Arabidopsis thaliana: one gene and its partners. The protein of the gene in region 3 interacts with the protein of the main gene of each other region in a pairwise test. Each region holds a gene or a part of one and is shown on either strand. Other genes may lie near its edges.

The links. The genes of interacting proteins can lie anywhere in the genome.
Region 1: the proteins of TCP16 (region 3) and ERF9 interact in binary tests that used the Arabidopsis thaliana proteins (3 or more experiments, as listed by UniProt).
Region 2: the proteins of TCP16 (region 3) and WOX4 interact in binary tests that used the Arabidopsis thaliana proteins (3 or more experiments, as listed by UniProt).

What each region holds. Positions count from the first base shown.
Region 1 is NC_003076.8:17,803,790-17,808,576, reverse strand, and holds ERF9 (erf domain protein 9), read right to left. Parts: upstream 2,181-4,787; 5' UTR 1,836-2,180; coding exon 1,233-1,835; 3' UTR 1,036-1,232; downstream 1-1,035. Other genes in the region: CBP20 (CAP-binding protein 20), read left to right, coding at 4,702-4,719.
Region 2 is NC_003070.9:17,235,489-17,240,881, forward strand, and holds WOX4 (WUSCHEL related homeobox 4), read right to left. Parts: upstream 2,698-5,393; 5' UTR 2,466-2,697; coding exon 2,223-2,465; intron 2,004-2,222; coding exon 1,686-2,003; coding exon of another isoform or gene 1,674-1,685; exon of another isoform or gene 1,610-1,673; coding exon 1,415-1,609; 3' UTR 1,036-1,414; downstream 1-1,035. UniProt on the Arabidopsis thaliana protein: Promotes differentiation and/or maintenance of the vascular procambium, the initial cells of the developing vasculature.
Region 3 is NC_003074.8:16,529,419-16,533,433, forward strand, and holds TCP16 (TCP domain protein 16), read left to right. Parts: upstream 1-1,760; coding exon 1,761-2,258; downstream 2,259-4,015. UniProt on the Arabidopsis thaliana protein: Required during early processes in pollen development.

The DNA.
Region 1 (4,787 bases), on a different chromosome or scaffold from region 3:
AATATCTGCATATAAGAATTATTGATCTTACGTGATTTATCTGCAGTCAATTTAAAGTTTTTGTCTTAATTCTAGTGTTTCTTGCTTTCTGTGGTTTGTTGGTGAAGTGTGTTAGTAGTTCTATTTGAGTCCTATGGTCGTGTTGGATTTTTATTTTCATCCATATTGGTTTGTTATTTGCTTATCTTTGGTGCCTGGTCTATTCGGATTTATTGGTGGTTCCGACATTTAGATATTCTATAGGGGAACCTTTATGAAAATCTCTCTAACTTTTGTTCAATAGTGTTTAGATGCGATCCTTTTTAGTACTTATGATTTTTTTTCAACAAAATTAATTACATCTCAAAAGAGTTATTACTAACATATAATATAATTTTATCTCTTTATTTAATTTTTATCAGCGGTATATATATTTCATCTTTTTATTAATAAAATTTTAGATGACAAAAATAAAACCAAAACATAATAATTAGACGTAAGAAAGCCACCCTAGCCAAAATATGTTTGTGGTTTAAAAAAATTGAAAGCATAGGAACAAAACAGATTATGGACGGCTAAAGCACACGTGCCTCCCACCTGACACTCATGCCATCATCCCCATCTACACGAAACTCGAAGATTGGACTCATGATGCTACCACTCTACTTTTCAAATACATTTTAAAAAAAAACTCATAACTCACTACAGTTTTTTTACTTTTGAATTTAATTTTCTTCCTACACAATTCATAGATGAAAAAAGAATTTTACATGTCTAATTTATAAACCAAACCATGAAACCATAATTCAATATAATGAGAAAACTAATGAAAACGATAACTACTTTTTTGTGTCATGATCATCCGATTTTTTTATTTTTATTTTTGGGTACTCTCCTATACTAAATTGTTTGATGTTGACAGACCATCTAAATGTTCGATGTTTCTTGGTTTCATATTCCACATCCATTTAATGGAGTGATATCTACTACCTATTTGATACATCAACCAACCATCATGTCATTTTAAGACATTTAAGAAAAAACATCAAAAGTAGAAAAAAAATATCAAAAGGAGATATTTGATTAGTAATTAATTACATCCACGTAATTAGGGAACCATAGGAGATTTCTGAAAAAAAATTCCTCTTACTTAGCCAAAAACATAGGAGATTTTTCTTTTTCTCATCTACTAAAGAAAACATTAATTATTTTCCGGCAATGTAAAATACAAATTATGAAAAGAAGAAAAAAATCTAAACGTCCACCACCGGTGGAGCTAGGTTAAGATCCAGGTTTAGTTCTCTTCTCGGTTCAACTTTTACGGTTTCTCGAATACCAATACTCAACTCGATATTAACCGGATCAAACCGAACCGGACAAACCCGAGAAAGCTCTGCTCTTAACGAAGCAGCTCTTGACGGATCGAAGAAAAAACCAGCAGAAGCATAACCACCGACGACTTTACGCTCCCGGTGACATGCAAACGGAAATCTCTGACGCGTCATCTCACGCGCCGTCGTCACCGTCGTACGGTTGACGTAAGAATCGTTCTCGCCACCGTCGTTAACCGTAGTAGACTCTCCGGGAAGAGGGAAATTAGTCTTTGCTTTGGAGCCACGAAACTCTCTAGCGGCGGTGTCGTAAGCTCTTGCAGCTTCCTCCGCCGTGTCGAATGTCCCGAGCCAAACCCGGGTTTTCTTTCCCGGGTCACGGATCTCCGCCGCGTATCTACCCCATGGACGCTTCCTCACACCTCTAAAGTGCACTTCCTTCCGCATCGTCGTCATCGTCATCGTCTTCCCTCCGCCGCCTTCACTCACGGCAATGCTTCTACCGTTCGCCTGTCTTGGAGCCATTGCTTATAAAAGAAGAGATATATTCTCGTTTAGATAGAGAAGTGACGTTGTTTTTGGTTTAATTTATAAAGGAAAAGGTTTTTGGTTTAGAGAAAGAGAAAGAGACGGTCAACGAGGGTTTGACTGAAAAGCGCCGCCCAAAAAACAGACAATGTGAGAGGTTTTAATGTTTTTGTGACGGCTTTTTGCCTTAACGTCCCGTTACTGCGGCGTGACTTTGCGTAATTTGATTGCTTGATCTCACGCTCCTTCATTAATCTACATGACTACCACGCTCTCTAACGATTAAATGAGTTTTACATTAATATGAATTTCCAAGCCTTATTTTAGTACCCACCAATATGAATAGCCTTTTTTTTTTTTTTTTGTCGGCCCAATATGAATAGCTAATAGCCACGGTTCTATACTTCTATGTTGACAATGTTGTCATTTAAATTTTGTATAGAGATATATTTATGTACAATGTTTCGAATGAAATATGTAGTAGGTGATTTAGATATATGGTTTGATAATATGTGAGTAGGTAAATGTGTCAATATCTTTTTTTAATAAATGGTTAGCAGCTTAAGAATCCAGTTTATTTTAAGAATCCAATTTGTATCAACTTAATTATCATTATATGACATATCATATTGCAAAAAGTTTTTTCTTTTTTTTTGAATCTATTGCTAAAAGATTTTGATTTGTTATTTAGATACATGGCATACAGGTTGATACACAATTTTATTTACTTTGGGAGATTTCGTTGATTTCCTGTTTTAAGAAATCAACAACAATCAACTTTATTGATGAACATTGTTTTTTTTTTTTTTTGAATAAAATGTCAAATTATATTTAAAAGAAAAAATATACTTTTTACATCAGCTTTTTTGATATTTTGATAATAAGAGAAATAGAGCTAGATCAAAAACAGAGTAAATAGAATTGAGAGAGCAAAAACAGAGTCTTCTTTCTTAGAGGATGCTATGGACGCATGTCAAACCATACTTGCAGCCCCTTCTCGAGTCGAAGATCCCCTTTCTTTTTGATTGTCGATAGCTGGTTTCTAATAGTCTTGTCTATCTGTCGGATGAGGTTTGAAGCTGAACGTGACTTCTCTCCGTGACGACGAGAATTTCTCTCCCTCCAAATGGAATGAATAGAGACTTGGAATGTGTACCTGGATAAGAAACTTTGGATGCGATCAGGCTGAGAATCAGATATGTAATTCACCACAGCAGACCATTTTGTGGAAAATCTATCTTTGTACACATTCTTTGCGATTGATGTCCAGATTTCAGAAGAATAGCAGCATTGGATATTGATGAACATTGTTGTGTAACAGCTGTAGAGGATTTCATATATGTAATATATGTTATAGTTAACTCATTTAACTCGATAAATAAAACAAATTTAGAATTATATTAACTTTTATTGAATAAGTATTTTACTTTAACACATGAATAATGGATACGTCTAACGTTATTGTCAAATGTTAATCCACACAAAAGTCACAATTTTTTTGATCCTACAACATAACACAAAAAAAGAGAAAAAATGGTATTTGAATCCCGTTACGTTACAGATACACGTATGTATGTTAGAGTATCTTCAGTGAATCTCTCAAAAATGAGTATTGGAGTAATAAAAAGTGATCTGGAGGGAACACCATAGTAGATTATGAAGCTTCAACACAGATTTAACGAGAGCTTTAACTTCGAAAATGAGTCACCTAAACCACCGCTTACAACAACGAGAAATAACTATTTCTATGTCTCCTCAGCAAAGTTCCTTATATGATTTTCTTGTCCTTAAAGAGGTATTTTCTTAAAACATTACTTTGAAGATATCTTCATAGGCAAAAATCTAGAAATTAGAAATAAAGGATGTTTAAAAATATAAAATTTAAGGTTTGCTAATGCTGAACTGTGAAATTAAAACCAACAACCACAACAAACCAAACCGGAATATCATTTAAACCAAATTAAAACTAAAGGGCGTTCAGTATTCGGATCGAATATTTCGAGTTTGTGTATTTCAGATTTAGAAGTTTAAGACCCGTTCGGGTATTTTAAAATTTTAAACCGTTCGAGTTCAGGTTTATTTAAATATTAAAATATCAAAATTTTGTATGTAAATTTATCAAATTACTTGAAAATTTCAAAAACTCTCAAAACAACACGAATAGTTTTACTTTAATATATCCAAAGTAACCTAAAATACACAAAATAACTAAAATATCCAAATATCCAAATATTTTCTGTATTTAAGTATGAATATAAATAATATATCAAATATTTGAGGTATGTTTGGATATTTGTTCAGATCGGGTTTGGGTTAGAGTTTTTCGGGTTTTGAAGTTTAGGACCCGTTGAATATTTGAAATTTTTGGATTTGGATCAGGGTTTTCGGTCGGGTTTGGGTTGGTTCGTAGGGTTCGATTATTATGTCGAGACCTAACTAAATTGAATTACAAATTGGTTTTATGGTTTAAACAAATAAAGCGAAACCGAAATAATTGAACCGAAACCAAACCGGAATTGTTATTTGATTGAACATTTTAGATGCAAAAAATTTGGGTTTTTTATTTGTTTTAATATTAAATTAATACCAACAATAATATTTGTGAATTAATTGTAACTTTGTAAGGTTTCGTAAGGTGGGCCATGAAACCGGATACTCGAGAGTCGCCGGAGTGTCCTTGCCTTCTTCTATCAGTTCTGCTTCTGCTTTAGAAATTAGGGTTCCCTTTTTGAAGAAGACGAGTGTAAGTGTCTCTCCTTCTCGATTTCTCGCTCATCTTCTTCTTCTTTCACCCCGCATAGACCTAATTTAAGCTATCCTCCTCTCTCATCATCGCAGATTCACTTCTTCTCACCGTGAAGCGATGGCTTCTTTGTTCAAGGTACATAAAGTTTAGATTTTTATCGGAAACCATTTCTGGGTTTTGCTTTTTCTAGCATAGAAAATCGA
Region 2 (5,393 bases), on a different chromosome or scaffold from region 3:
CAATCTTGCTTCCCTCCAAGATTATAAGTAATGGAACGCCATGCCCCACGCCCACGGGCAACCAATTCATAATGCATGGCAAATAATCATTTGAGAATATGATTACCGGTAAAGATAGACTTAAAATATTAGGTAGTTTGGTTATTAAAGATAAACTTAGCTGGAAATGTGTTTGTTTCAATTAGAAATCATAATCTAAACATAAAGAAACTTAGAGTACTTCTATATATGTTTAATTGATGTCCAACAAAGTTATAATTTATCTTAAACCCTTTACCAAAAAAGATTATTTTAAGTTTAGCGTTTATTTAAAATCACTGTAGAAATATACAGTTTTGTTTTACGTTGCATCAACATTTAAAAGAAAAAAAGAAGGAAAATTGGTATATAATTAACAACCAAGTAGAAGTTAGCTATCAGAAAATAAAACAAAATTATCGGCATATAACCAAAATGAAAAGAAGAATGTCACTTACAATAATTAAGTGCGAAAATATAGAAGAGCTACATATATCTGCGTATGTATAGAAACAGCTAGCTAGCATGCAATGTAGCGGGAAAGCGAGTGCATGGACTTCAGTGAGTGTGTCTCATATAATGCCATTTCAACTTTTAACCTAAAAAGCAAAACTCTCTCTTTGTTTCAACCAAAATACAAAACAACCACTTGCGAGAGTCAATAAAGCATCAGACAAACAACTAACCACATACACACCACAGCTTACATATATTGATGTCTTTGTACACATTCCATTGGAAATATCAAATTCTTGAAAAGATTCTTCTTGTTATCATCTCATAAACTTATTTAGTATATATTTATCAAAAATAAAAAATTAATATAAATATTATTGAGTCACCTGTTTTACTAAGAGTTTTAATATAAGTATATAACAGTACAAAAAGTTTTAGATTTCAATGTTTGTTTATATAGAAATATACTAGGTCTACCCCCTTTTCAACGGGAAATGCTATTATTATTTCCTTTTAACTTCTTGCTCTTGTACGTACGTAGGAATTAAGACAGAGATATTATTTTAACAACATCAAATGTGTCTTTATTCAGAAATTTCTCTAAATGAAACATTCCTACATACCAACGATCTAGAGAAATACTTAGATGGCCAAATCAGAAGAGAGTACAACTGATCACTAGTGAATTTGTCAAGAATAAACGCGAAAAAAAGATGAGCTAAACTGAGCATTCATAATTAAGATTACATCGCAAAAATAATCTACATAGGATACATCAAACTCGCAGATTAATAAGGGAATTCTTAAGTAGATTTTGTAGTTTTAGAGACTTATTCCTATTTTTATTTTTATTTTGAATTTCTAGATACCAATTGATTCCTCTGAACCTAAACCAGATCTACATAAGAATTCCACAATTTTCTGCCTCACCTTCATGACTTCATCTCCCTTCAGGATGGAGAGGAAAAAGCTCGAGGGTTACATTGTCAATGATTTTATTAAAAGTAGTTGCCATAGTACTACTATTTTTGTTTCTCCTGTTCTCTATCTCCAAGTTCTCAAATCCCCAGCTCCTACATGTCCTCTTGTACTCATTCTCTTCCACTAACTCCTCCTTCTCCACCATTGGTTCTCTCTACACAATCATAAAAATTATCCTTAAATATAGTTGATCAAAACCACAAAACTATACAAAATCCTTAAATTCCTACCATAATGTCTAGTGACGATGATGTTCTTGTCTTCATAGTTACACTCGGATTAAAGACACCAGTGGTCGTGAAGCTGCTTTGGCAACTTAGGCTGATGAGGTTGTTCCTCTTCTGCTTCTGTCTCTCGCGGGCTTTGTGGTTCTGGAACCAATAGAACACATTTTTCCCTTCGATTTTCCCGTACTTACCGAGTTGCAATGTGATATGCTCAATCTGTTGAGCATTAGGAGTACGCATTCCACCTTTGTACAACATCTCAAGTATCCCTATCTGTTCTTGAGTCGGGTTCCACCTTGTCCCTCCCGGGTGCGTCTCCAACTGAACCCACACATTATTTCATTACATTTGTTAGGAATCATACATTAAAATAAATAAATAAAATTAATAATAAAAGGAACCACTCCAGTCGTTATAATTTATAAATGTCAAAGTATTAGGTATGCCGCAATTATCAAAATTCTTCTAGAGTGAATTCTTCTTCTTTTTTCAAACGAAAGAAACGATGTAAAATGTACGAAGTACAATAATGGAACTGACTTGATGAGGAGGGTCTCGTTTGTGTTCAAATTTTGTCGGACCGGTTTGATCGGGTCTAATGAAGTTTTTAAGGTCAAAAGTGGCTGAAGTGACGCCGGAGGAAGAAGAAGGAGGGGAGGGAGGGCTGCCGGAGAGCTTAGGGGCGAGAGGACGGAGGCGTTTGCAGCTTAGGCTAAGGGATGATGTCGAGTCATGTTGATCCCACGATGAAGAAAACCCATTCGAAAACTCATGAACCTTCATTGCTATATGTTAAAACTAGCAAATGCTATGCATGCCTTTCTCGTTACAAGACTTAAGCTATGTATATATAGAGGAAGATAAGTGTGAAATGATAGTGTTAGTGTATAATGATATCATTGGTGATATCCAGTTGGGTAGGAAAAAGAAAAAGAATGGAAAATGAACAGATGATTTTTACAAAAGTGGGACGTCGGGAAACCAAAGACCAAATGATGGGATATGGTTGACTTTTATCATTTAAAATCTCCTTGTCCTTATTGTAAATATATACACTCAGAAATGTAAAAGCAATAGGTAAAGAACAAATTTGAAACTAATTGAAGACAGTGATCTTTGTTTGAGAAAGTGAAATCTCATTGTGTGAATATAGATATGCGTACGTGTGTCTCTACATACACGTAATACATGCGTACGTGTGATATCTGATATGTTCATGTCTGCATGGAGCACTACTTTAAATTCGGCATAGTAATGTATCAACCAAATTTTAGTTTCATGCTTACGCATGTCATGCGTGAATACCGCATAATTTATCTCTCTTATAAAATTTTCCTCTACTTGTAGTTGTAGTCTATAGTACTATGTCTTGAGATCCTATAATTTAGGCAGAATGTTGAGGGACATGAACCACGCTAAAAATAATATGTTATAGATACGTGATATCAAAAGACTTTACTATTCATTGAGATTGACATTGACCTACGAGCCAATAGGTTTGCTTTTACAGGAAAAAGGTTTGAATTTTTTTTTTTTGGGATCAAATTCTAACAAATGCATGTGATTTATTAGAAAAATCCCAAACCAAAGCTTGACAATCTTTCATTCTACTAGTTGTATAGGGACATAATTTCTCTCTCACCTTTCTTTATTTTAAGAAATTATTTTAGAAATAAAACACTGAAAAAAGTTAGCTTTAATGATAGGATGTCGAATGCTTTTCGGTGGCTCTCAAGTCTCAACTACTTTATTTAGAGAAAAGAAGAATGAGAAGAAGAATGAATAAGGGGAAAAGGTATCTTCCAATCCCAATACTCGAAATTGCTTTTATTACTTTTGTTAAGATACGGATTTTGCCTAAATTAGTGGTAGTTTATAATGAGCCAGGACAGACTTTTATGCGGAAAAGAAAAGGCTAGAAATATCTTAATGTTATATTATCATTGTTTATTTTGATAATAATACATCATTATAAATTTAAGCTTATATGTTTATTAGATATTGATACAAAAGCATGGTTTGGTTTGGCAATGTCAAGCGTCCCATTCACTTTAGATCAGTGTATTGTATTGTTATTCTCTTGTACATCGGGAACTGCAGAACCTCAATTTCCCAAGTAATTTGGGTATTTTACTAATGAAAAGTAGTAACGTATGATATTCCGGAATTACAAAGTTTTTTCTTCTAATTACTTTTGAGTTTTGACTAATATATCATCATCTTTTTATTTGATATGTAGTCTAGAATTACAAAGAACAGAGACCTTGAGTATGAACTGTGAAGAATAGTCAAAATTATTTAGTCTCGGCTAATCCAGTTATGATGCAAGTATATGTACAGTACGAAACTTACACTAATATATATGGATATCAAAGTTATGAAGGTGGAAAGTCACAGTTCATATCACTGGTTAAAACATAAAAATTGATATCATGGAGGAAATATAGAAGTACCAGTGTAGGTTGATCATGACTAATAGCTAAAATTAATAACATCTTTATCCTATGAAGATGGATTTTTTTATAGAAATTTCACATTTTTAAAAAATAATGTATACTGACAATTTTAACCTTTTAATATATTTTAAAAATAATAAAAAATATTTATCTACTTATTTACTTAGGATAAAACAGGTAAACAATTTTAAAATTTATATTAAAAATACAAAATTTGTATCTTTGTGGGACAATTTTTTTCCATAGAAAATTCATCTTTGTTGGACGGAAGGAATATGAAAGCTCAAAGTTCTAAAAAGACTGCTCTATCATTCATCAGATACTGGAAAATGAGTGGAACTTTACTGAACCCAAAGCATAACAAGAAACTGGTAATACCATTCATATTTTTTGAAAAATGTCATCACACGATGGATAACCTGATTCGTGTGTCAAGCTGTGATCAGATGGTTATTTCTTCAATTATCTATGGCCCATACTATATCGTCGATATTCATATGCAGTGACCCTCCTCCACTACACTTGCCTCTACCACTGTTCATATGTATTTTTTTAGGACACATATTTAACATGTTTATTTTTCGATCCATATGTAATACTATGTCGGTAATGACAGATTACTGATGGTTTGAGGTTTAGGGTTTCAAAATTTGAAATAAACTAGCATAACATGTTCACAACCAATCATTGTTGGATCTCTTTTTCTTCCAATTTGTTTACTTCGATCTCCTCCTCATCTTTTTTTTAGCTCTTTAGCTCTTCTTCCTTCCTTTGATTTGTATTGTTTGTTGATGAGATATGTAGCACCCTTCGAAAAATTCGACTTAAATCGAGAATAATTCCATTAATCCAAGTAATTCTGATAAATGGGTAATCGGTCTATGGGAAAAAGCTTAAATAAAACGTCGTTGACCTGCAATAGGGAAATGAAAAGAGTGAGACACATCTAGGTGGATAATCTTGAGGACCCGAAAAAATAGAAAAATAAGAGATTCAAGGCCGAAAAATAAGAAAAGAGAACATATGTTGAATAGAAATCCATTCATATAAATCGACTGATCGAGAACCGAACAAAGGTTTGCCTTAGGTTTTGTTTGTTTTTGAACAAACTCTAACTTCTTATTCAAGGAACATAAACCATTGCAATTGATTGTTTTTTTTATCAAGATTTCAAGAAAAGGAGTTATTTTCTCTTTACTTAAAATTAAATAAGTTGTTTGTGAAACCGTAGTTTCTACGTTTTAATCCGCTCCCA
Region 3 (4,015 bases):
GATCAATTAATTCGAACGCTCAATAGTATGTAAGAAGTCATTTACACAGTACCTCGGTAAGTGTTTGAGGGTTAAATATTTGTTGAATTTTTAACATCACACTAATTTAGAGTATAATCTAAATTATAAGGTATACGTATGAAATCATAGCTCAATGATGATAGAATTCGTTAATTATTCTCGTAAAAGTGAATATTTGATTTAAAATGAGTCAAAATATATTTGATTTGACGAATTCTAAAAGTGTTCCGCTTGAGTTATAGAAACATGCTCAAAATGATGGTGATGACTTTTTTTTAGTTCTTTATTTGAAAAGTCAGTTTGGAAATGAAAACAGTAAGGCTGACCAAACAATATACAGTATGTTATCCAACTCTTATCCGTTTTAAGAAAACAAAGTATGTGTAAGAGTCGGGTAATATGATATCAGGTTATTTCTAAACCATCTGTCTTGTAACCCATCATTTTACTTGGATATATTTTCTTACATACAAATAATTTATTATAATAGTTTAGACATGTCAATTGGACTAGTCCAGTCTGACAAAGTCCAGAAAATTCGAATATATTTTATTTAGTCTGGTTCGGTTAGTAAAAATTTTGAAATAAAAAAATTTGAACTTATATTTCAAGATCTGGTAATAACAGGGACAAGACTTTTCCAGGTTTTTTATGTTTTTCTTTCCAGAAAAAAACAAATTTATAATTTATAATATTTCTGAAAGATGGATATATGAACAAAACAAATCAGTTGAAATTTAAATAACCATGAAAGCCAGTTTATTTTCAAAAAAAAAGGTTTAAAATCAAAAAAAATAATCTAATTTTTTTATTTAAACTCATAACAAATAAAATATAAAATCAGAAGATTTTAATCTAGACAGTCGAGCCAAGATTTGTTTTTTAGATTTATAGTAAGGCACAATTGAAAAACTAGGTTTAGGGTTTTCAATACTATTAAAAAAAACAAAAACAAATATTCCAATTAAAGAAAAATATTAACAAAAGAAAAGTAAAAAAAAAAATTAAAATTTTTTTAGGCCGGCTTGAATCTGGTGGGATTAAGCCTCAAAAACTTTTTATCCCGAATGGGTTAGCTTAAGGGAATTTTCTGGATATATATTTTTAAGTCTGAATCTCTATTTTCAGAATTGATAGTCCGGGGAATTTGACCCTAAATGAAATATAGTTTGATAAATAAACAAATAGACAATATCTGAAGAACAAATTAACCGTCCAAAAAAAAATATGCGAACTCCTATCCAAACACCTAGTTTAAAAATAACAATATAATATTTTAAATAACAATGTTGGAATATCATTAATTTCTAAGGAAAAAAACTAAAACCTTAACTTTAAAAAAATTAAAATAGGATAAAATAGGACTATACTTGTACAGTTGTATCAGTAAATAATAATTTCTGTAAACTGCCAGAAGAAAGGTTTATTTTCCTTTTTTTAGTGGACCTATCAATTAATTATTCCAATATAACTTCTTTTTTTCAGGTCCACTAAATATATTTTCTATACTACATATTATATTACATGATAATATTTCATTCTCAAATATACCTATATAAATTTAAGATTTCTTCTATTTACCAATTAGTTTAATTATTAGTTTGTTACACCATTATTGTTTTCCATACATAACATAAATAGAAATAGAGTTTTCTGTAACGTTTCTATATAATCCAAGTGAAACAAACATATTTTCCACTTCCATTTACAAAAGAAAAAGAAAAAAAAAACAGAGAAAAATGGATTCGAAAAATGGAATTAACAACAGCCAAAAGGCAAGAAGGACTCCAAAAGACCGCCATTTGAAAATTGGTGGCCGTGATCGTCGCATTCGGATCCCGCCGAGTGTTGCTCCCCAACTATTTAGATTGACAAAAGAACTCGGCTTTAAAACCGATGGTGAAACTGTCAGTTGGCTCCTCCAGAATGCCGAGCCTGCCATTTTCGCAGCCACGGGACATGGTGTCACCACCACCTCCAATGAAGATATCCAGCCAAATAGGAATTTTCCTAGTTACACCTTTAATGGTGATAATATTAGTAATAACGTTTTCCCTTGTACGGTTGTAAATACTGGTCATCGTCAGATGGTGTTTCCGGTTTCTACAATGACAGATCATGCACCTTCAACTAATTACAGTACTATTAGTGATAATTACAATTCCACCTTTAATGGTAATGCTACCGCCAGTGATACAACATCAGCAGCAACAACAACAGCCACAACCACAGTTTGAGCTTGTGAAGGAGGAGACGGCGTCGCTGAGAAGGCCAATTTGGAGTCTTTAAAATAAATATTGGAGATTTAAGAGTGTTCAGTTCTGGACGTTTTAGTTCGTTTCTGTTTGCTTTTTCTTTCCTCTTCATGTTTTTCAGTTTGAGAGTTGAACTAGGGTTTGTTTTAGTTCGATCGGTATCCATTTGTCTTTTTTTCTTGTATGCTCATGTTTTTTTAAGATGAATAATAATACCTAAAATTAATTATAGATGTAATTTAAAACTGTTTGTCCATGTTTGAAGTTTAGTAGAGAATTTGATTTCAACAATGGATTAAATTAAACTCTTCACAACAAATTTGATTCATTTTTTCTTTTTTGGACACGAACAATTTCGTTGGTATTCTAGAATAAATAATTCTGTCATAATATTTACCGAAACATAACTTTTATGTACAGTTATTTATTTCCGTTTTCTAATTTGTCAAAATTCGTTTGTCTTTCGAACCTAAAGGTTCCAACGGTTATGAAAACATTAATTAAAAACGGATATCAAAAACTATAATATAAATAAATTAAAGAGATAATAAAAGGAACAATTGAGTAAGAATGTGGTTTTATATCTGTTAAAGAAATTTCCAGCTCACACTTAGCTGGACAATAATTATTTAAGATTTGTTTCTGTATTTAGCTTCATACATCTATTTTAATATTTCTTAATACACAGATATATATTTTAATATATATATATATATATTATTTTCAAGATTCTCAAGGAAAAAAAAAGAAAAAAAAAAGGAAGGAAAACTAAATCTAAAGAATAAGAAACTAATTTTTGTGTAAATAAAAATTACTTTAATAAACTTTTAATAGTTTTCCCTTAAATTCTTTTACTTTATAGATTGGTTAATATGTATTTAGAGAAAAATACTATTTAACCTTTATTTAGATTAAAAAAAAAAACTTGAGTAAGAAAATGGTTTAAAATTCTTAAAGAAAATTCCAGCTCACTTTAAGCTAGAAAAAGAGATTATATAGTTTATAGTATAAAAATAAATTTAATCATACCATGTTTAATAAAATTTGAAGAAAAACTTATTTTCTTTTTCCATGAATAACAAGATTTTTCTTAACAATTAAAATTTCTTTTAGCAACATATATTAATACTTTAGTTTTCTGTTTTTTTGTTGGACATGGGTTCCGCCCCATTCCAAAAAGCCCGGCCCAAATATAGTTAGGCCCATAAGAAAGAGACTTGCGTTTGGTCCGTTACACAAGCTCAGCCCATTAAGTATCGTCAATTTGCTGGGAGCAGAAAAGAAAAATCATCCCGAGTTCATGACCGCATATATCTTCCCTATAAAAGCGGAAAAACACTGTCGAGAAAGGATCCCGAATTTCACGCTGACACATATGTAGAGAGTACATGTAATCTCCTTCGTACAAGTTTCCCCATTGAGTTCCTAGGAAGCCTTTTTTTAATCGTTAGTACGTACGAACATCTTTCGAACCAAACGCCTTGTCCGTCATTCTTGCACCTTTATTCAAACGAGTTGGATACATTGTCTTCTCGGATTGTCCTTGTAAACTCGTACCTTCACCTTGTATAATCTTGTATTCGCCAAACCTAATTCGTCTTATAAGAGATTATCCGTCCTTCTCCTTAAACCTTTACATGAATTGTATGATTTGAGTATCAACAGTTTTTGTTTAGGGAACTACGGTTTCAGCTTCAAGCAACTCTGACGGTTCTAATGGTCATCGATGGCCAAAAAAG